3 linked regions of the Saccharomyces cerevisiae S288C genome follow. Changing the gene in region 1 together with any one later gene gives a genetic interaction. Each region holds a gene or a part of one and is shown on either strand. Other genes may lie near its edges. The genes, in order: TDA3, SOM1 and TFB5.

The links.
Region 2: mutations in TDA3 (region 1) and SOM1 together harm fitness less than expected from each alone (positive genetic interaction), as found in Saccharomyces cerevisiae (one large-scale study listed by BioGRID).
Region 3: mutations in TDA3 (region 1) and TFB5 together harm fitness more than expected from each alone (negative genetic interaction), as found in Saccharomyces cerevisiae (one large-scale study listed by BioGRID).

Annotation. Positions count from the first base shown.
Region 1 is NC_001140.6:118,150-127,706, forward strand, and holds TDA3 (Tda3p), read right to left. Parts: upstream 7,532-9,557; coding exon 5,960-7,531; downstream 1-5,959. Other genes in the region: STP2 (Stp2p), read left to right, coding at 1-1,290; ERG11 (sterol 14-demethylase), read right to left, coding at 1,942-3,534; YHR007C-A (uncharacterized protein), read right to left, coding at 4,401-4,616; superoxide dismutase SOD2, read right to left, coding at 4,740-5,441; 60S ribosomal protein eL27 RPL27A, read left to right, coding at 8,372-8,402, 8,964-9,343. UniProt on the Saccharomyces cerevisiae protein: Putative oxidoreductase that negatively regulates the retrieval of cargo from late endosomes to the Golgi. Regulates YIF1 and KEX2 localization. Required for fast DNA replication.
Region 2 is NC_001137.3:39,464-47,382, forward strand, and holds SOM1 (Som1p), read right to left. Parts: upstream 3,162-7,919; coding exon 2,937-3,161; downstream 1-2,936. Other genes in the region: kinesin motor protein CIN8, read right to left, coding at 1-74; PRB1 (proteinase B), read right to left, coding at 583-2,490; HHY1 (Hhy1p), read left to right, coding at 3,189-3,497; phosphoacetylglucosamine mutase PCM1, read left to right, coding at 3,789-5,462; SDD1 (Sdd1p), read right to left, coding at 5,557-6,258; HAT2 (Hat2p), read left to right, coding at 7,705-7,919. UniProt on the Saccharomyces cerevisiae protein: Non-catalytic component of the mitochondrial inner membrane peptidase (IMP) complex. IMP catalyzes the removal of signal peptides required for the targeting of proteins from the mitochondrial matrix, across the inner membrane, into the inter-membrane space.
Region 3 is NC_001136.10:602,955-605,623, reverse strand, and holds TFB5 (TFIIH complex subunit TFB5), read left to right. Parts: upstream 1-1,812; coding exon 1,813-2,031; downstream 2,032-2,669. Other genes in the region: VPS41 (Vps41p), read right to left, coding at 1-1,616; PET100 (Pet100p), read right to left, coding at 2,225-2,560. UniProt on the Saccharomyces cerevisiae protein: Component of the general transcription and DNA repair factor IIH (TFIIH) core complex, which is involved in general and transcription-coupled nucleotide excision repair (NER) of damaged DNA and, when complexed to TFIIK, in RNA transcription by RNA polymerase II.

The sequences.
Region 1 (9,557 bases):
GCAGTCACTACACAGTTGAACTTGGACGAACCGATTTTACGGGGCCCTAGCCGCGGCGAGCCAGCAAAGTTACAGAATGACTTGATAAGTTCTCCCCCGCTAGAGGAATCCTATATCAATAATGACCAGTACAAAGCTCTTTTCCCCTCTAATTTCCTTCCAATCACGCCCGTAAGTAGCGTAATCACTCCTGCATCGAAGAAAAGTATTGATGAATCTCCCCTATCCGATGAGGTTCAAGGAATTGCTGATGAGTCATCCGAAACTTTACCATATATATGTCACTATTGCGATGCTAGGTTCCGAATCAGAGGTTACTTAACACGACACATAAAAAAGCATGCGAAAAGGAAGGCCTATCACTGTCCATTTTTTGATAATAGCATTTCGCAAGAATTGCGATGCCATACTTCTGGGGGGTTTAGCAGAAGAGATACCTACAAAACACATTTGAAATCTAGACATTTCACTTACCCAGAAGGTGTTAAGCCTCAGGACCGTAATAAATCACCTGGAGTGTGCACTCAATGTGGGGAACACTTTAGCACTAGTGAGAGCTGGGTGGAAAACCACATTGAGGCTGGGAGTTGCAAAGGTTTACCAGAAGGCTATTCAGAGGGAATACGAGAGAAGAAAAAGACGTCTAAAATGAAAATGATAAAGACTTCGGATGGCCAAACAAGGTTCATCTCATCCGACGAAAGTGTTTCCGAACCAGCTTTACAAAATAAGAATTGTATAGAAGCGACAGTAATGCAGTCCAAGGAACGCCCTAATGACAAGATCATACCAACCAAAACCGAAAAAAACGATTTTGGAATAGGCACTCAATGGTTTGAACGCAAACAAATATCAAGACCTACACAAACTACACAATCAAGAGGACCTACAGAAGTCCAAAATCTCAAAGAGTGGTCAATAATATCTCCCCCAATTTTGTCACCCCAAAATGCATCTTCTGTACCACAAGAGTATCAATCATCAAGATACACATTGCATATGGATTCTCCAGCATTATCCTCTGCCTCCTCAGCGCTATCTCCACTTTCAGGCGATCCAATAACAACTACAGAAACAAATAAGTCATACCCATTGGATTCAGAGCAATCGTTGTTGGAGCCAGACAAAACCGAGGAGGACGCAATCAATCAGTCAAAGGAAAGCAATATGATTTCCATTAATGAGATGTTACAGAAGCAAATGGACTTTGAACTTCTGGGTGAGAATCATTTGAAGGAGACTCAAGATTATCTGGCCCTTTACAAAAAAGCTTATGGGATAGAATTTTAAGGTTAATTCAGGTATTATTTTTATGGCGGTTTCAGGTATTTTACGTAATATTATTATTATATCATTTTTGTAGCAATATATTATTTTTAGCGGTGCTTTATAAAACAATGGATACTAAGGATGGTTCAATTCACTCATCATTTGGATTTATCACTATAAAAAGCAGTAATGAATCTTATATACATTTATTTCAGTGAATCCATATTTAAGAGAGCTTCCTCAGTGACCCCTCCCCAAAACTCCTCTCCTCCTGGGCCCTCTCTTGATTAATTTAAATTGCAAAAAGATTTACAAGTTTGCGAAAAGACTGCTTTATTTCCGCTTGGCCTGTGAGCTGTGTGTTCTCTCTTCTAATCCAGTAGGCATGTTGCATAAATAAACCTTATATTTGATGTTGTTTTAGAAATGTAATCTATATATAATTTCGTAGTATAAATATTTATAAATAAAGAAGTGAAACCATACCACTCATAAATAATGCGGGATGGTTGTCCAAGTTTGAAAGTAACTAAAGAACATAACTCGATGTCATATCAAACGTACTGGCAAATAAAATAAATCATTGGAGATGGATGAGTGTGGCGATAAGGCCCACGTGAATGTACAACTTCTCTCTTTTTCTGTTTTTTTTTTTTTTCTCAGTTACAAACCTTAGATCTTTTGTTCTGGATTTCTCTTTTCCCAGATGATCTTGGCTGGACCGGTTGGAAGAGTAACCATAGATGTAAAGTCAGGAGGTGGAACGGTCTTACCCTCTGGGTAATGCCATTTTAATGTTCTGATAAAAATGGACATTAGAACACCTAGCTGACAGTAAGCAAAGTGTTCACCGATACATCTGTGTCTACCACCACCGAAAGGTAAGTATGGAGAGCTGACACCCTTAGAAATGGCACCGAAACCGTAATCGACTTCTTCACCGACGGAATAAGAGGAGGCAGAATCTTTGTTCCAACGGTGAATGTTGAATTGGTGAGCATTAGGGAAGTATTCGTCTCTTAAATGAGTGTAACCTGGAGAAACCAAAACGTGATAACCTGCTGGGATGACATAAGAAGTGTTTGGAACGTGCATATCTTTCATAACCTTACGGAACAAAGAGTGCAATGGATGGTGCATTCTTAGAGTTTCCTTAATAGTTTGGTTCAACAATGGCATTTCTTGTAATAAATCGTAGGTCAATTCCTTCTTACCACCATCCAAAACACGCATTTGTTCTTCGTACAATTCTTGTTGGACATCTGGTCTTTCAGCCAAGTGCAACAAAATCCAAGCAGAAGTGGCAGCAGAAGTATGTTGACCACCCATTAAGACACCAATTAACAAGTTAGCGATTTCTTGATCAGTCATCTTCACACCATCCTTGTAGGTAGAGTTCTTCATCAAGGAATCGATCAAATCTCTGTCTTGAATGTCGTTGTTCTTTCTTCTTTCCTTAATCAAAGACATGTAAGTACCGGAGATAGCCTTTTGAGCGTGATCTCTCTTTCTATAGTGTTCCAATGGTAAGTTAGGGAAGACGAAGTTGATTGGAGTGAAACCCTTATCCAAATCACTGTACAAGTAAGCAAAATCGGTATCCAATTTTGCTCTCATTTCCTTACCCAATAATGATCTTGAAGCGGTGAAAATAGTCATTTCAGGTTGAGTAACCATCACGTCAATAGTACCAGTAGTTCTTTCATTCAAACGGAAGTTTTTGGAGTCTCTGAAGTACTTGTACACTTCTTCAGCAATCAATGGAACGTAGCTCTTGAAGGCTTCTTTGGTTAGAGCACCCTTAACAAACTTCTTTTGCTCCATCAATCTAGAATTTGGACAATCGTAAATAACACCTTTACCGAAAACTGGAGTAGTCAAATGAGCGTAAGCAGCTTCTGCTGAAACATCTGCCAACTTAGCGTTGAAGACAAATTCGTGACCCTTTGGTCCTAAATACACAGTCATGACTCTTCCTAACAAAACGAATGAAAAAATATCACCGTATTTCTTTTGACATTCTTCGAAAAACTCGTATGGCTTCATACCGTACACAACAGCACTACCGACCCATGGAATCCAGTAAAACACTAGAGGTGGACGGTCCTTTCTCAAAGAATATAGTAATTGCCATACAATATTGTAAATGAAAGGAATTATTATGATCAAAGAGATTCTTTGGGCCAATGGTAAAGCCAAGAAATGACTTAAACCAATGTTTACGTATTCCAATGCCTCTCCAACGATTGACTTGGTAGCAGACATCCTTGTATTACTCGTTTGTTCTGTTTCTATTCAAGCCTGCTGCAATTGTGAAGGAAAAAAAATTTTTTCTGGAAACTATTAATTAATATAATGAAAAATTATTACTTCCTATCGAAAATACACACGCTGAACGATACTGCTTATCAATCTTTTTATAAATAATTTACCAATAACGAAAAGGGAAAAAGGAAAAGGGAAAAAAAAAAAGACATTGAAAGAGAGAATTAAGAGGGAATAAGAAAACTAAGGGAAAATACGCTATCTTATATAATGAATACACATGGAGGGCAATTTTTAGAGGCTTTTCGAATACATGCGAGTACGTAAACGTCGTTAACTCGTGGAGATGCACAATAGGATGTGCTCATACCAAGAAAAAAAAAAAATTCAGGCATAAAATCGATGTCTCCTGCAAGATACCTACCACACTTATTGTGTTCTGCAAGAGACTATTGTCATCTGAAAAGCGATTATCTTGAAATCTTAGTTTCGTTTCGTTTCGTTTAGGGCCAGCGCTTCGTTTGTCTCGTTTTTCGTGGATTATCGGCCTTTAAGATTGTCCAACCCGGCAAATCTTGCACGCACATTGTATGTGCGCTGCTCGTATAGTATCCACTTCGTGTGACATTACTATAATCGTACGGCTTAGTCGGGAATAAAGGCTGGCCTCATTTTCGTACAGAGACATTTTGCCGGAAATTTCGTATTTTGCTGTGCCCCCGGTAATTCCCGGGCGCGGCACAAAACCTCTCTAAACAACCGCCCATTGTTGCAATTGTTCGTCTGTACGGGACAGGCGGCGATCATAACGTCGCACGGTGCACAGCAATTGCCGTTTTCGGAGATCTCCCTGAGTAAGCAGTCGTTTACGACCTTAATGGCTTTACAATTATCGGTTGGAACAATAACAAGAACAATTGGTTCTCTGCCTGGTGGTGAGTTAATCTGGTGGGAATGTAGTGCACAGGCGCGAGTAACGTAGGAAGCGAGAGAGAACAAGGAAAAAGAAAAAGTGGAGGAAGGTTGGTTGTATTGTCTTTTTCGGTTCTTTTCTTTTCTTTTTTTCTTTTTTTACGATGCATGTATATGTATTTTAATAGTAAAATATATTATTAAATAGGGGAGTGTGGTTGTGTGATTTAGTAGAGTAGTTAGAATAAAAACGACACAGTGGAAAAAAAAAGGTATTTTCTTTCTTTCTTTCTTCAGATCTTGCCAGCATCGAATCTTCTGGATGCTTCTTTCCAGTTGACCACATTCCAAATGGCTTTGAAGTAGTCGGCTTTCTTGTTTTGGTACTGCAAGTAGTAGGCGTGTTCCCAGGCGTCAATGGCAACTAGAGGAACTAGTGGGCCTGTGACGGTATCCTGGTTGTAGGTTTGAACAACGTCCAGCTTGCCTCCATTAGAGAGGTTTTTCACAATGAAGGCCCATCCGGAGCCCTGCACGCCTGCTAGCTTTGTGTTGGTCAACTTAATCAGCTCGTCCAGACTGCCAAACTGCTCGTCGATTGCCTTTGCCAAAGCGCCGGTGGGTGGTTCACCACCGCCCTGCGACTCTGGAGCCAGGTTTTCCCAGAATAGACAGTGGTTTGTGAAACCACCGCCATGGAACTTGATGTTTTGTTGGATAGCAATCATTTTTCTTGCGTTTGCGGGAGAGGGCTCCTTGGCCAGAAGATCTGAGAGTTCTTGGAATTGGTCAACAGCAGTGTTGAATCCGTTCACATAAGTTTGATGGTGCTTGGTGTAATGCAATTCGTTGATTTGACCGGAGATATAAGGTTCCAATGCACCGAAGTCCCACTTCAAGTCTGGCAAGGTGACTTTGGTTCTCCTTGCTGTGGTGGAGAGCAATGACAAACCACCCTTCTTGGTTAAATTAGCAGCTGCTGTTTTCGCGAACATCCTGGTACGTTTTTAGGAGGTATAGTTATCAATTGGGGTTTCGTTCCTGTAGCAGCAAGTGAAAAGCAATCGCTGTAGCTAGCTTGTATATTTTGGGGATGCAACGCTCTTATATACAAGTTATAGCTTCTTCATCAGGGGTGTCTGCTACGGTCGCGGAAATTTTTCGGCACATCCCTACTTTTTTTTTTGCGAAGCTAGTGGTTCGGCCTGTGTTATTGGTCCAGGTTTAAGGTCGCGCCAACAATGATAATAGCAATTAGTAATCAGCTCAACCTCAAGTAGAATACTACACGTGCAATCGGTAGCATGCGCAAGGGCAAACAGGATAGACGCCAAGAGAGAAAGAGAAAGAGAGAGAGAGAGAGAAAAAAAAAAAAGAAATATATAGATTTAGGTATTCGTTAAATATATACACATTAAATGGCCTCAGAAATTTTAAATATATAAATAAATAAGCTCTTATATGTACAAATTTGTGCATATACTTTTCTTGACCTTTTTACTCCTCGGCTTGATTAAGAAAGGATGGTGGCGTCGAAATATAACTTTGGATCCAAACTTGAGATTTCCGCAGAGGTTGCTTCGCCATCAAGGAGAATCTCAGCCATTAATTTACCTGTTGCTGGCGCATTGTTAATACCCCAACAAGAATGTCCACTTGCAATATAAAGATCCTTGACATTTGTCTCACCAATTAAGGGACCAGAACTTGTAGGAACGTTTAAAACTGGCAAAAAACAGGCTTGTTTCCGCAAGAGATGGCCCTTTGATAGAGTTGGCGATAATTTGGATACGTAATGGTACAATTCATCACACTTCTCCGAAACTACCTCCACATCGTCCGAACTTTCAGGTATATTGACTAAAGTGTCGCCTTCGCCGCACACATAAACTTCATCTTTTCTAGCATACATTTCAGGGGAGAAAAATTCACGGTCGTTAACTTTTAGTTCAGCAAGAATAGCGTAAGGTGAAACTGTCTTTTCACTAGGCTTAATGGTGACAGAGTGGGCTCTCAATCCAGAAATTGGACAATCTTTTAGAATCTTGGAAGTCCAGGGTCCCATACTCAAAACAATCTGCTGGATGTCATTGATTTCAATGGGCTTCGCGTTCTCATCGTTGAAGATTGTACCCAGCTTAATGTCTGGATTTTCTGCATGCCCTCTGCTATTTCTGCGATTCTTGACGACAGATGGAAGGTACTTAAGAGAATGAACACAATCCATCTCGTCACACTTTAGCCCAACTACCTTACCTAGGAGAAGATCGACAGCACCTGTTTCCATTGCCTTCGATAAGATGAAATGGGTGAATTTATAGGGATGAAGCTGCGCTGTGGTATCAGTACCACCTAGTGATGACCAATCATTAACCAATTCTCTTCTTATCCAATCTAAATCAGCAGGCAAAGGATTATGGATATTAGTCTCTCTCAGTTGCTCCACGGGACTTACAGAGTCAAGATCAGATGCGCTATTTGTGTGGCTTCTCATGCGCTCATTTGTTAGAGAGTGTAAACTGGGTACTGAGCTAGAAACATGAATGTCTGATCCTTCTTCCTCGTTACTAGCGGAGTCGTTTTTCAAAGAAGAGCCCGAAGAACTCAAAGATGAATTAGAGTCCCCGATGTTAAACTTGTTGGATATGTAGCCCGGTCTCTTCTTTGGAGGAGGGACATTCAGATTATATGCCTTCTTGCTCAGTCTTTCGTAGTTTTCAATGACTTCTTCGCGAACATCTGCTTCTAAGGACACAGTCGTCAATCTTCTGTAGTCCCAGTTGTTTTCTCCATCATATTCATCACTCAACTCCTGATGTAGCTGGAAACTTAAAGGTACGATTTGGTGAGGGAAAGCCCAAGATGCAAGCAAGCCACCTGCTTTACCAGAAGCCCCTCCAGCAATGCGCCTCGATTCAATGATGGTAATATGATGCGTCGAAGGGCTGAAACTTGGATGCTGGGTCAAGTAGTAAGCAGTACAGCAACCGATGATACCGCCACCTACAATGACAATATGTTTTTTCCCTTCGCTGTTCTTTGAAGGGTACGTTTGAAACGGTGGGTGCATAAAATCTTCACCCATTTATAAACACTATTCCTTCTGTTGCTTGGTTAAAATGCTATTGATACTTAGATGGTGTATTGGAGAGCACGAAAATCTTTTGCTGAGTGACTTGAACTATCAAACAGAATTACTTGTTGGCTGATTTTTTTTAAGTCTTGATTTAACAATAGAAAAAAAAAAAAAAAAAAAAGGAACAATATAACTTTTGTAGTACGTGTGCCAGGTTACAGATATGGTTTCACTTCTATGTCGTGCTTTTTTCATTCATACGTAATCTTATGCATGTAGGGGATAGACGCACAAAAGCACCAAGGCTGCATGTATTGATAAATTGGCTTACACGATTCCAGCTAAGGGGACTCGGACGGAACCGTCTCATATTATACGTTCAGTGAATATTTTTCACGGAAGAATGGAAAGGGCCTCGAAAGACGTTAATGCATCCGTACACCTACATCTTTACATTTTTTGCTGTTGCACCTACACTGTTTTTTTTTTTTTCACCTTATGAGTCCTGTATTTCTTGAAAGAGCCGATAACAATATTCCAGGTGGAGTCCCGAGGCAGAATCAAGGCTGCGGAGAGAAGTTCCTCTCAAACTAATGGGAGTGATCCGCTCAGTTCTCCCATCACGACAGAACTGTCTGAGACAAAGTCTTTCCAGCAGAGCTCCGCCTACGCTCTTGCTGCAGAGATTCGCCCGAAGGCAGGTTTCCTGAAATTCTTTTCACTAGTAAAGTGTTCGTTCATGTAAAACATACTGCCGTAGTTTTGAGCTAAAATTAAAGATATATTAGATTTTTAGAATTTCTTAGATAGTCTCAACGTGTTAAAACAAAAGCATAACCAAAGAAAAAAATGGCTAAGTTCTTGAAAGCTGGTAAAGTTGGTACGTATCATTTTCAGTTTTTGGACATCAACAAAAAACCGTGCAACTGTGGTATTAGAAATCCAAGTTATTAGCAGTTGATGTTGTATAATTTGAGTTTGAATTCGAGTATTGTATCTTCATATGGGAGTAGGGAGGAAAAAGCGTGGAGATGTTAGATCTGGGAAAAAACCTTTAAATTTGAATGATAGCTTATTAATAGAAATATTGGACAAAAAGATGAATGATTTAGGAGCGAAACTAACGATTATTCATATTCATTGAGCTATACGAGGCAGTGGAAGGGTTATCAAAAAGTTGTAATTTAAAAGAAAAAAGCATCAATAGCCACCAAATAAGATGGTGAAAGTTCCGCGATATATTTGCTAAGACCATAGGCACATGTACGCAGGCGACCAGGGCCTTTTATTTACTGTAGTTCTTTCCATGCCCTATTAAAAATTCGTGGGCCTATGATAATTTTTCTCTCCCTAGTATTGAAGAACAAAATTGAGAATTCGCCAAACTTTAAGAAGGGTTCACATTTACTAACTATTTCTTTTCCTTCCTTTTTTTACACAGCTGTCGTTGTCCGTGGTCGTTACGCCGGTAAGAAGGTTGTTATCGTTAAACCACATGATGAAGGTTCCAAGTCTCACCCATTTGGTCACGCTTTGGTTGCCGGTATTGAAAGATACCCATTGAAGGTCACCAAGAAGCACGGTGCCAAGAAGGTTGCTAAGAGAACCAAGATCAAGCCTTTCATCAAGGTCGTCAACTACAACCATTTATTGCCAACCAGATACACTTTAGATGTTGAAGCTTTCAAATCCGTTGTTTCTACTGAAACTTTCGAACAACCTTCCCAACGTGAAGAAGCTAAGAAAGTCGTCAAGAAGGCTTTCGAAGAAAGACACCAAGCTGGTAAGAACCAATGGTTCTTCTCTAAGTTGAGATTTTAAGAGAATTGCATTATGGTCAACCAAAAATCAAAAAATTATTAGTAATATCAACATATGTATATTTAATGTATGTAAACAATGATTAAATATTAATAAAATATATCTACATATAAGTATACGCAAATGGGGTTTTTCTTCAAAAAAATTGTTTGCTGGTGTTTTCAACCTTAACGACAAAACGAATCATAACGCGGTAAAGGGGAACGATAATATA
Region 2 (7,919 bases), on another chromosome or scaffold:
ACCTGAGAGTTGCCATTTTTACTGATGCTGTTGGAGCTTCTATCTTGACCCGTATTTTGGTTTTCCGCTGGCATCAAACAAATTCTTTCTTGTTGTATTTTTTGCGCTTTTATATACTTTTTATTACTTTTTCCTTTGAATTGCTTGCTTCTGTATCTATACTCAACGTTACTTTCTGGCCATACCATAAGTTCTACACCCGCTGTTGAGAAGCGGGTCACAAAGGAAGTCTTTAGATGATGTTATTGTTGCGGCCTTGTTTGTTTGTTTTGTTTATTTCGCGTACCTAATACATCGTCACCACACACGAAAACGAAAACATTTGATCAGATAAGTGATCTGCAAATAAGATATAATAAAAGTAACAGTTATTTATTTAATTAAAAACGCAAATATGTAGTAATACGTGGGACATATAAATTTCATGAATTAAAAAAAAAAAATGAAATTCAGATTGAAAATAATGGGGATATAAAAAAAGTGGACAAACGATAGTGAAGAGGGACTCCGACTTGTAACCTCGAGACGCCTAAGGAAAGAAAAAGAAAAAAAAAAGCAGCTGAAATTTTTCTAAATGAAGAATTAAATAATATTCAATTTATCAAGAATATCTCTCACTTGATCAAAGATTAAATCGGTCTTTGATCCAATGAATTCATCCATGTTCAATTCTTGCTTGAAACCAGATGAATGGGACTTTTTGGTATCATTCCAGAAAGCGGACAAATCTTGACCACCACCGTTGTAGATTAAAACATTTGGAGTGTCTTCAGGGATATCGAACAAAATGTCCTTTGTACTGTAATGAATTAGCTTCTTTTTCAATTGCTGAGGAGTCAAAGAATCCTGGCCCAATTCGAAAAATTCACTATCAGAACCTGGTTGCAAAGACAAAAAGTAGGTCAACAAACCAGCAACGTGAGGGGAAGCCATTGAGGTACCCGATAAAGTGGCGGTGGCGTCATCACTTCCAATGTAGGTGGACAAAATGTTTAAACCTGGGGCGAAAACGTCGACACACTTACCCCAGTTGGAAAAGTAGGCTCTGTCATCGCTCAACGTGGAAGCTCCGACGGTGATGGCCTTGTCAGCAGAAGCTGGGGAGGTATTACAAGCGTCTTGGTTTTCGTTACCAGCAGCCACGGCAAAGTGAATACCGACTTCAACGGCTGCATTAACAGCCAAGTCCAAAGCTGGGGACTTGCCACCACCAAGCGACATATTGGCTGTGGAACCTTTGAACCCCTTTTTCTTTTCTTGGGCTTCTTTTTGGTGCGCCTTTGCGGCATATTCGACACCTTTGACGACATCAGACATGGTACCAGACCCGTTTGATCTCAAGACTTTCACCGCAACAACGTTGGCATTTTTAGCGACACCGTAGTGTTTGGAAGCGATAGTACCGGCACAGTGGGTACCGTGGCCGTTACCGTCGAGATCTTCGTCGTTAAGTGGGATGGTTTTCCCCCAAATGGCTCTCTTTTCGAAGTCCTTGTGGTTGATGTTGACACCCGTGTCAATAACATAGGACGTGACACCGCGACCGGCATCATCATCGTAGAGATACTTGTTGAAGGACCCCAGGTTGAGGCGCTCTCTGTGGGAAATACGGGCCAACCCCCATGGGGCGCTATTTTGAGTGTCAAATTCTGTAGCCTCGACAATAGAGTCTCTCTCAACAAAGTCTACTAATGGGTTTTGACGTATCAAGTCGACAATCTCTTGGGTGAAGTAACCGATGTAACCGGAGAAAAGATTATCGATGTTGAATGAGTCCTGGATACCGCCAGCCTCAGAGGTGGACAAGGAGGTGTCTTTAGTAGAAATGAAGAAAGCGTCTTCGGCAGATAAGTTCTCTACGGATTGAAGTTGTGCCTGCTGGACGTTTTCCTTGTGGAAATCGATCTCTTCTTGAGGGGCACCTCTCTTGAAGACTATAATGTAGCGGTTGGGGATGATCTTGGAGATCGCGTCTGGGTTGAATTGTGCAGTGGACACGAGAGGAGCCAGCCTGTTGTGGTGCCTCCCTTTCTCCAACGTCTTTTCGTGGTGCTTCTTGCCCTTGACTTTCTTACCTTTCATCTTCTTCTCCTCCACCTTATTTTCGTGGCAGCCACCCTTATGGTGAGGCTTCTTCTTCTTATCATCATTATCATCATCATTGGAACTTTCATGCTTAGGCTTCATGCCCTTTCCTCCCTCGTGGGCGCTCCCATGAGAGCCACTTGCACGTTTACCGTTGAATTCCGGAGACTCCTTGTCTTGGCCCTTGCGGCCCTTCTTATGGAACTTTCCATGTTCTTTATCTTCAGAGTCAGATGGCTCCTCATCATCGTCCTTAGTGAATTCCACTTTTCTGGGTCTCTCGTGGTGATCTTCCTTGTTAATCAGTTCGTGGTGGTCGGCGGCATTTTCAAGATTTGGGATGACCAAAGCAGCAGAGATGCTCCCTAGGGCACCGAGTGTAAATAGAGTATTTTCTAACTTCATCTTTGCTTGTTAGAATTAGGTTTAGTTTGTTTTTTTATTGGCGATGAAGCTAATTGGACTCTTAAGTTTGTATGGGAAGAACTCCAATATAACGGGACGTAACATTGGCCCCCTTTTATATTCATCGCGCTCTTTATCGCGGGTGTGTTTGCCCCCGCCACTCCCGCAGTCCTGGCGTGATAAGCCACTGCAGTGGCATTACTGAGCCCAAATTTTGCTTTTTCAACAAGTCACCTAAATTTCCAAAGCCGAAAGCCCTGCTACTCTGCTAACCCGGAGCGTTTAAAGTCCACGGACATTTCCCAGCCCTCGTTTTTTCTCCTCCCGGGACCCCGGGCATAAGTGCATAGTAGGCACAGACCTGATCTGTCGGGTGCAGTTTAAAAAAGTCTTGGCAAAATTTTTTATTTATCACACTACTGTGCTATATAGAGTATATGTAATTTTTAACTATTGGTATATGTGTCCGTGACCTCGTAGTTAGTGGCTGATTTGTCGGGTGCAATGCAGTGTTCAAAAAGCCTCTTAAAAGGCGAGCAGACGTATTCGGCTCCTTTGAATTGGCACTCCCATTGCACAAGCTCTTTCAGCCGGCAGTTGGTTTGTGAGTCAAGCGTTGCTAACGGTGCGAGCGCTTGGTCCCTAGTGCGGATGGTGGTTGGAGGCGCCATGAGGGTTGATTGTCTTATCTGCGATAGATGAGTCTTTCTTTCCTTCTCTTTTCCCCTTTTCTCCCCCCCTGTTTCTCGTCCATCTCTATCTGTCTATCTGTCTTATCTACTGTTAGTTTTTTTTTCGCTTTCACGATACCGCATTACGTACTGCGCTGCGGAAGTGTGGATGAGTGGCATATACACTCTTCTGCAGAGGATTTTCGTACACAACGGTGTGTGTGTGCTGTGAAGCTGTCTGCTTCCTTACTTGGCTGTTTGCTTGCTTGTGCGTCATGGTCACTTTTGTTAGAAGTGAGCCGCATAAAATGGCATGTCGGCACAGCCTACAGTTAAAAATTAAGCATATCTGACTGTTTATCTGTTTATCTGTTTATACACGGTGAACTGTCACGAGAACCCTTACTTGCACGATTAGCAGATTGTTCAGAGAGCCTCGCTCGTTGAAGTTCTTCTATATGCCAGCGTGTTTCATGTAGCAGGAAACGTTGCTCTATTTATATCTTTTCTGACATTTTGCGTCGTCGGGAAAAAAAAGATTAAGTAAGAACAAAAAACCGTTAATGGTTTCAGCAATCGAGACAAGTACAAGGACCAAGGCAAAGGTCAGCAGTAAGCTTAGAGACGATGAAGGTTGATTACGAGCAATTGTGCAAACTCTACGATGACACGTGCCGCACAAAGAATGTGCAGTTCAGTTACGGTACGGCCGGATTCAGAACGCTGGCCAAGAATTTGGATACGGTGATGTTCAGTACTGGTATACTGGCGGTTCTCAGGTCGCTGAAGCTTCAGGGTCAGTATGTGGGGGTGATGATCACGGCGTCGCACAACCCATACCAGGACAACGGGGTCAAGATCGTGGAACCAGACGGATCGATGCTTTTGGCCACATGGGAGCCATATGCCATGCAGTTGGCCAATGCGGCCTCTTTTGCCACTAATTTTGAAGAATTTCGTGTTGAGTTGGCCAAGCTGATTGAACACGAAAAGATTGATTTGAATACAACCGTCGTGCCTCACATCGTGGTTGGGAGAGACTCTAGGGAAAGTAGTCCATACTTGCTGCGCTGCTTGACTTCCTCCATGGCCAGCGTCTTCCACGCGCAAGTTTTGGACCTAGGCTGTGTCACTACGCCTCAATTGCATTACATTACTGATTTGTCCAACAGGCGGAAACTGGAAGGAGACACAGCGCCAGTTGCCACAGAACAGGACTACTATTCGTTCTTTATAGGAGCCTTCAACGAGCTCTTCGCCACGTATCAGCTGGAGAAGAGGCTGTCTGTCCCAAAATTGTTCATAGACACAGCCAATGGTATCGGTGGTCCACAGTTGAAAAAACTACTGGCCTCCGAAGATTGGGACGTGCCAGCGGAGCAAGTTGAGGTAATCAACGACAGGTCCGATGTTCCAGAACTGTTGAATTTTGAATGCGGTGCGGATTATGTGAAGACTAACCAGAGATTACCCAAGGGTCTTTCTCCATCCTCGTTTGATTCGCTATATTGCTCCTTTGATGGTGACGCAGACAGGGTTGTGTTCTACTATGTCGACTCAGGATCAAAATTTCATTTGTTGGATGGTGACAAAATTTCCACTTTGTTTGCAAAGTTCTTGTCTAAACAACTAGAATTGGCACACCTAGAACATTCTTTGAAGATTGGTGTTGTGCAAACTGCCTATGCAAACGGCAGTTCCACCGCTTACATAAAAAATACGTTGCACTGTCCCGTGTCTTGCACTAAGACAGGTGTTAAACACTTGCATCATGAAGCTGCCACTCAGTACGATATTGGCATTTATTTCGAAGCAAATGGACATGGTACGATTATATTCAGCGAAAAATTTCATCGAACTATCAAATCTGAATTATCCAAGTCCAAGTTAAATGGTGATACGTTAGCTTTGAGAACTTTGAAGTGTTTCTCTGAATTGATTAATCAGACCGTGGGAGATGCTATTTCAGACATGCTTGCTGTCCTTGCTACTTTGGCGATTTTGAAAATGTCGCCAATGGATTGGGATGAAGAGTATACTGATTTGCCCAACAAGCTGGTTAAGTGCATCGTTCCTGATAGGTCAATTTTCCAAACCACGGACCAGGAAAGAAAATTGCTCAATCCAGTGGGGTTGCAAGACAAGATAGATCTTGTGGTAGCCAAGTATCCCATGGGAAGAAGCTTTGTCAGAGCCAGTGGTACGGAGGATGCGGTGAGGGTTTATGCGGAATGTAAGGACTCCTCTAAGTTAGGTCAATTTTGTGACGAAGTGGTGGAGCACGTTAAGGCATCTGCTTGAAAGCATTATTCGATGTATAGTATAGCTATTTAGATATACAGAGAGATAAATGAAAGAGAAAAAATATTGGTATCAATCAACGTTTGTTACAGGCTTAGACTTTGGTTTGGTAATTGAAATTCATGGTAGTGGAAATAAACAAAATTTTCCTCTTCAATTTTTTTCGTCGTTTCGCTCTGCAATCGAAAATCAAATAATCTTCATAAAAGAAATCACTTTCAATAAATGAACTTCTCACTACCATAATGGATGATGTGGCCGATTCGAAAGCAATACGGTTGATTAACACGGAAACCCCGAGTGATAAGTCACCAAAAAAAATTCTCTTTACGATGAATGTTCCGAATTTGTTCTCCTCTTTACAGTTTTCGTTGGAAAGGTATTTATATGTAATTTCCTTCAGAATTCTCTTGTTTTCTATGTTGGCATTGTCGAGATGAACCTGTTTCAGTATGGCATTGGGAAAAAGTGTAGCTTGTAACTTTAAAACTTGATCATGCAGTGTTGCAGCTAAATTATCCAGAGTAAAAATTTCCTCTTTGGAGTAAATGCCTAGCAAGTTTTTCAGCTGACTACTCCAACCTCGCCTGGCCCTGTGCTTTCTACTTACACAATCTTTGTGATTTGGTGGTAAGGTTTTTGGAAAATGAGGAAGAGTATCTAGTTGTTGGGTAATGTTTCTTTCCAAGAATGATATTTTTTTCATTATGACGTCAATTTCTTTAGAATAAGCCGAGAACTGTACAGTTTTAAAACCCTTTCTGTTGTCATTCCTCTGAATCCCATCATTTGCCATTTAATTTTCAATTTAGTTACTAGTCAATTTTCTTTTTCGCCTTTTGTATTCCATAATATGAATATAAGCTTGGGCTTGCCGATTTTCTCCGCTTAATATTAAGCCTACGCATGATGTAGGTTACATTTTGAAGGGTTTCTTTTAACTTCCTTACTTATTTATATATGTATGAACCTACACAAGGCATTTTACCCTTATTTCTTCCCGCAACATTTGATAAAAAGTGGAAGACGTTTGTGATTGTTATTATCGCCCCAATTTTCTCCTTTTTTTCTTTTCCTTCAACGTCAATCAATTGCACATTCAGCCGATTGGCTTTCTTAGCGCAGGATAGGGTGTCGGGGATACCTGTGGGAAGTTAGTGACACTTTTTTTTCCACTCTCTTCATGGAATCCCCGGACGGCAGCCGCCCGTCCCAATTTTGGCAAAATTGACATCCTAACTGCACGAATTCTCATCGCGTATCAGAACTCTTGAGCCTTCAGTTTTACTACTCAATGCTCTGATTTATCTATATATACATAAATGAAAATAATACGTGCGCATTTATAAGACAAAAAGTTAGAATTCTGACCACGATTGCATGCTGTAGATAATTGTCGTGTTCATTCTCTCTTTAACGGCGCCTCAAGAAGAATATAAAATAATTGCTCTTGCAGTCTCAATGAGTCGGTATGTTCAAAGTGGTGCCCAACATTTACTAATATTGGACTGCGGTACAAAATCGGCGGCTAAACTGTCTACCGATAAAATACTCTTGATTTATAAGAATGAAAAAGAAAACAAAAAGGGATGACCCCTGAAAAAGTTTGTTTTCTTTACCCTTTTTTATGTTAAATTTTACATTTATTACCGTTTACGTCAATCGCAATATACAGGTGGGGCATTGTTATTTGATTTCATAATCTGGTGAGAACGTTATCACGCGGATTATTTAGTTTTTTTAAACCATGTGCGAAGAAATTCTCATATATTGTAGGCATTTCTGACTCAAACTTCTGCTGCTTAAAATAGCTGTTTTCACCTTTTTTTTCCTCTTGTTCTATTTGACATGCTCCCTTTCTTCCTCGGTCCTTTCAACCATTTCCATGCTCCTGTAGGCTCAGGAGCAGAGCGAGGAAAAAACTTCCCTACAGAAAGCTTTCATGTTTTTAACCGGTTTCCTTTCAGCTTTTTCTTTTGGAGTAATCTAGAAAGATTAGGTCATTTGTTCAGTCTATTTGATACTTGATGAGTAGCTCGTCTGTTCTGTTCAAAATAACAATTTGTGAGGTGTACGGATGTTTTCACTGGCATTCGTCGACATGACAAAGACAAACCTTGAAAATAATAATGGAGAATAACTAGAAAGACGTTACTATGCCTCTAATACTTCTGCCTCTCTTATCTCTCCTATCAATTGTGGTTAGCCTAGTAGTCACCAAATAGCAAATTACCAATCAACTATGGAAAACCAAGAGAAACCGCTTTCTGTAGACGAGGAGTACGATTTATGGAAATCCAATGTTCCATTAATGTATGACTTTGTTAGCGAGACACGTTTAACATGGCCATCTTTAACCGTCCAATGGCTCCCTACTCCTGTTCAAGAATTAGATGGTGGCTTTATTAAACAAGAATTAATCATCGGTACGCACACTTCTGGTGAAGAAGAAAACTA
Region 3 (2,669 bases), on another chromosome or scaffold:
AATTTCAACCCTATACTAAACCTCTCTTCTGATCCAATTACATATTTACCGATTTTCCAAGCTTTATAATATTGCTTTCTTTCCATAAACCAATCGAAATGATCCTTCAATGATAACTCTTGAACCCTGATGGCATCGTTGGAACTTATCAAATAGTATTCTGGTGTTGTTTTATCTATATGTTTACCGAGGTGATAATCATTTATAGACAATTTTTCATAGTTTTTCATGATAACTTCATCATTATAGATTTCATCACCATTAAAAAGATCAACAATTTTTAATTCTGGAGCATTCCCTTTGGCTAATAAGTTTTCTGGCCGCTTGCTAAAATTCTTCCCCTCCTTCATATCTTCATCTATGGTTGCTTCCTCTTCAATATCTATATCAAAACCTAGGCATAATAACTGATCATCCTTAAACGATGCAAGCCCTGTAATCAACATTGACACAGTAAAATGGCATTCTAATTCAACTTTCTTATCAGGTGTCCCTCTAAAACTCGATGCAGCACTAGACAAGAGAGATCCGATGTTTGTCGTAGGGTTAAAATGACTCATATTATTACTTTGAGAATTAGAGTCACCGGATTTGATCGAATTTGAATCCTTGGTAAAGGAAACTTTAAATAGCCAAATATTAGATCCCCATCCGATAACGACACGATCACTTTCTAAAAAATGAACATGGGGTCTAAATAGATCTGGCCTTACATCCTGTACGTTAAAAATTCTGGAGGGGAATGGAATATTCAAAAGCTGTGATCTTGTAGGAACATCGCAAAATGTTATTCCATCATCATCCATCCATAATATAAGGTCACCCATAGTATAAATTCCCATGATAGGGCCCTTCATATCAGAGGATAGGTCATCTTTTCTTGTTTTTTTCTTTTTCTTCTTGTTTAAAACGATGTCGATTCTATTTCCTAGCCAATTTCTCTGAGATAGTACAACGTCGCCAGCCATTCCACCAGAAACAAACATTCTGGATGCTTGAAAATTTGAGTGCAACGCTACAGAGTTTATAGGTCTTTTGAAATCGTATTGTGTAATGTTTTGTGGATCATCCATCGATCCGATAATCACTGTCCCGTCAATAGATCCCGTAGCAAAATATTTTCCGTCAGTGTTAATACAAAGTATCGAAGATCTATGGCATTTGATGGTTTTAATGGGTTCGAACGCGCATGTAGTTAAGTGTAGAATGCCTGAGTGTGTACCAAATGCAAAAAAAGTATCACCAAATAAACATGAAGAGATCGAGTCTCGTTGAAAAAAGTTCTTCGGGAGTTGACTAATTCGTGTGTACTTCAATAAGGGGGGCTCATCTTCGTCATCCTCATCTTCATCATCGTCATCATCATCATCATCATCATCATCACCTGTTTCTGCATCCGTCGCACTTCCTGTTATTGTACTCTCATCTGTTCGAGAAGCTACTCCATTTTCCGCTTGTGATATGCAACTAACACTTTTTGTTGGTGAAGTTACATTAACGTCTTCCCTCTTATTATCAACATTATTCTCGTCAGAGATGGAATTACTCTCATCAATTGTTCGTTCGCCTGATTGTTGATCCAAAACAGAATCATTCTGATGATTATCTGTAGTCATTAATGTCTAATAGTAGGTATATACTCTTCGTTAAAATGCTTTTTTATTTTGCATATATATTTTACAACAGTCTCAATAGCCCTTTTAATTTTTCTTTTGTATCGTATTATTGAAAAAAGACGAGCAAACTGCAGTAAGATAGAAGTGTACTCCCAATAGAGACAAAGCCAAGATACTTTTGTAAAAGAACGAAAAAATGGCTAGAGCAAGAAAGGGTGCACTGGTTCAATGTGATCCATCCATCAAGGCGCTCATATTACAAATTGACGCCAAGATGAGTGATATAGTACTAGAGGAGTTGGATGACACCCATCTTTTAGTAAATCCCTCGAAAGTCGAATTTGTTAAGCATGAGCTAAATAGGCTATTATCTAAGAATATATATAATCCTATGGATGAAGAAGAAAATCAGTAATTATTGCTCATTCAGCTTTTTCAATACTATTTGAATAGAGCATGACCTGCATAACCAGGTCAGACATGAATATAGAGGGGAAGTGATGATCTAGTGGAAATACGACTATACAGGTATGTACATGTTAGAATAATAAATATAAGGAAGAAAAAGTGGTCAGGTGCAAGTATACATCTTTAACCGTTTTCTTTTCTCATCCTTTTTTGAGAGCCAAATCCCGTTTAATTTTTTCTTTTTCCTCCTCAAGGTCTAAACCAAACTCCTCTTGTATCTTTTTCTCCAACCTAAGCCTTTTCTCTAAACGTTCTTTTTTCATCCTTGCCAGTTCAGCTTTAATCTCATAAGGCTCTTTTGGTATTTGGTTCAACGTTGCAGGATCTGGCCAAAACCCTGGAACATTTAATTTTTTATCAGTATCTGTACCAATATAGTACATTACAGCAACAGGTGCTAGCAAACAAAATGAAAATCTAAAGATCTCCAGTTGCGCCCTTGTATATTTAAACTTGAAGTTATTAAATAGACCCATTTTGTACTTGTCGAAGTGATTACTTTTGTTTGTCAGCCCTTATTAAATTGTTATAGAACAGAAAATATCAGCAAGATGCGCTGATATATTGGAATTATACGGGAAAAAA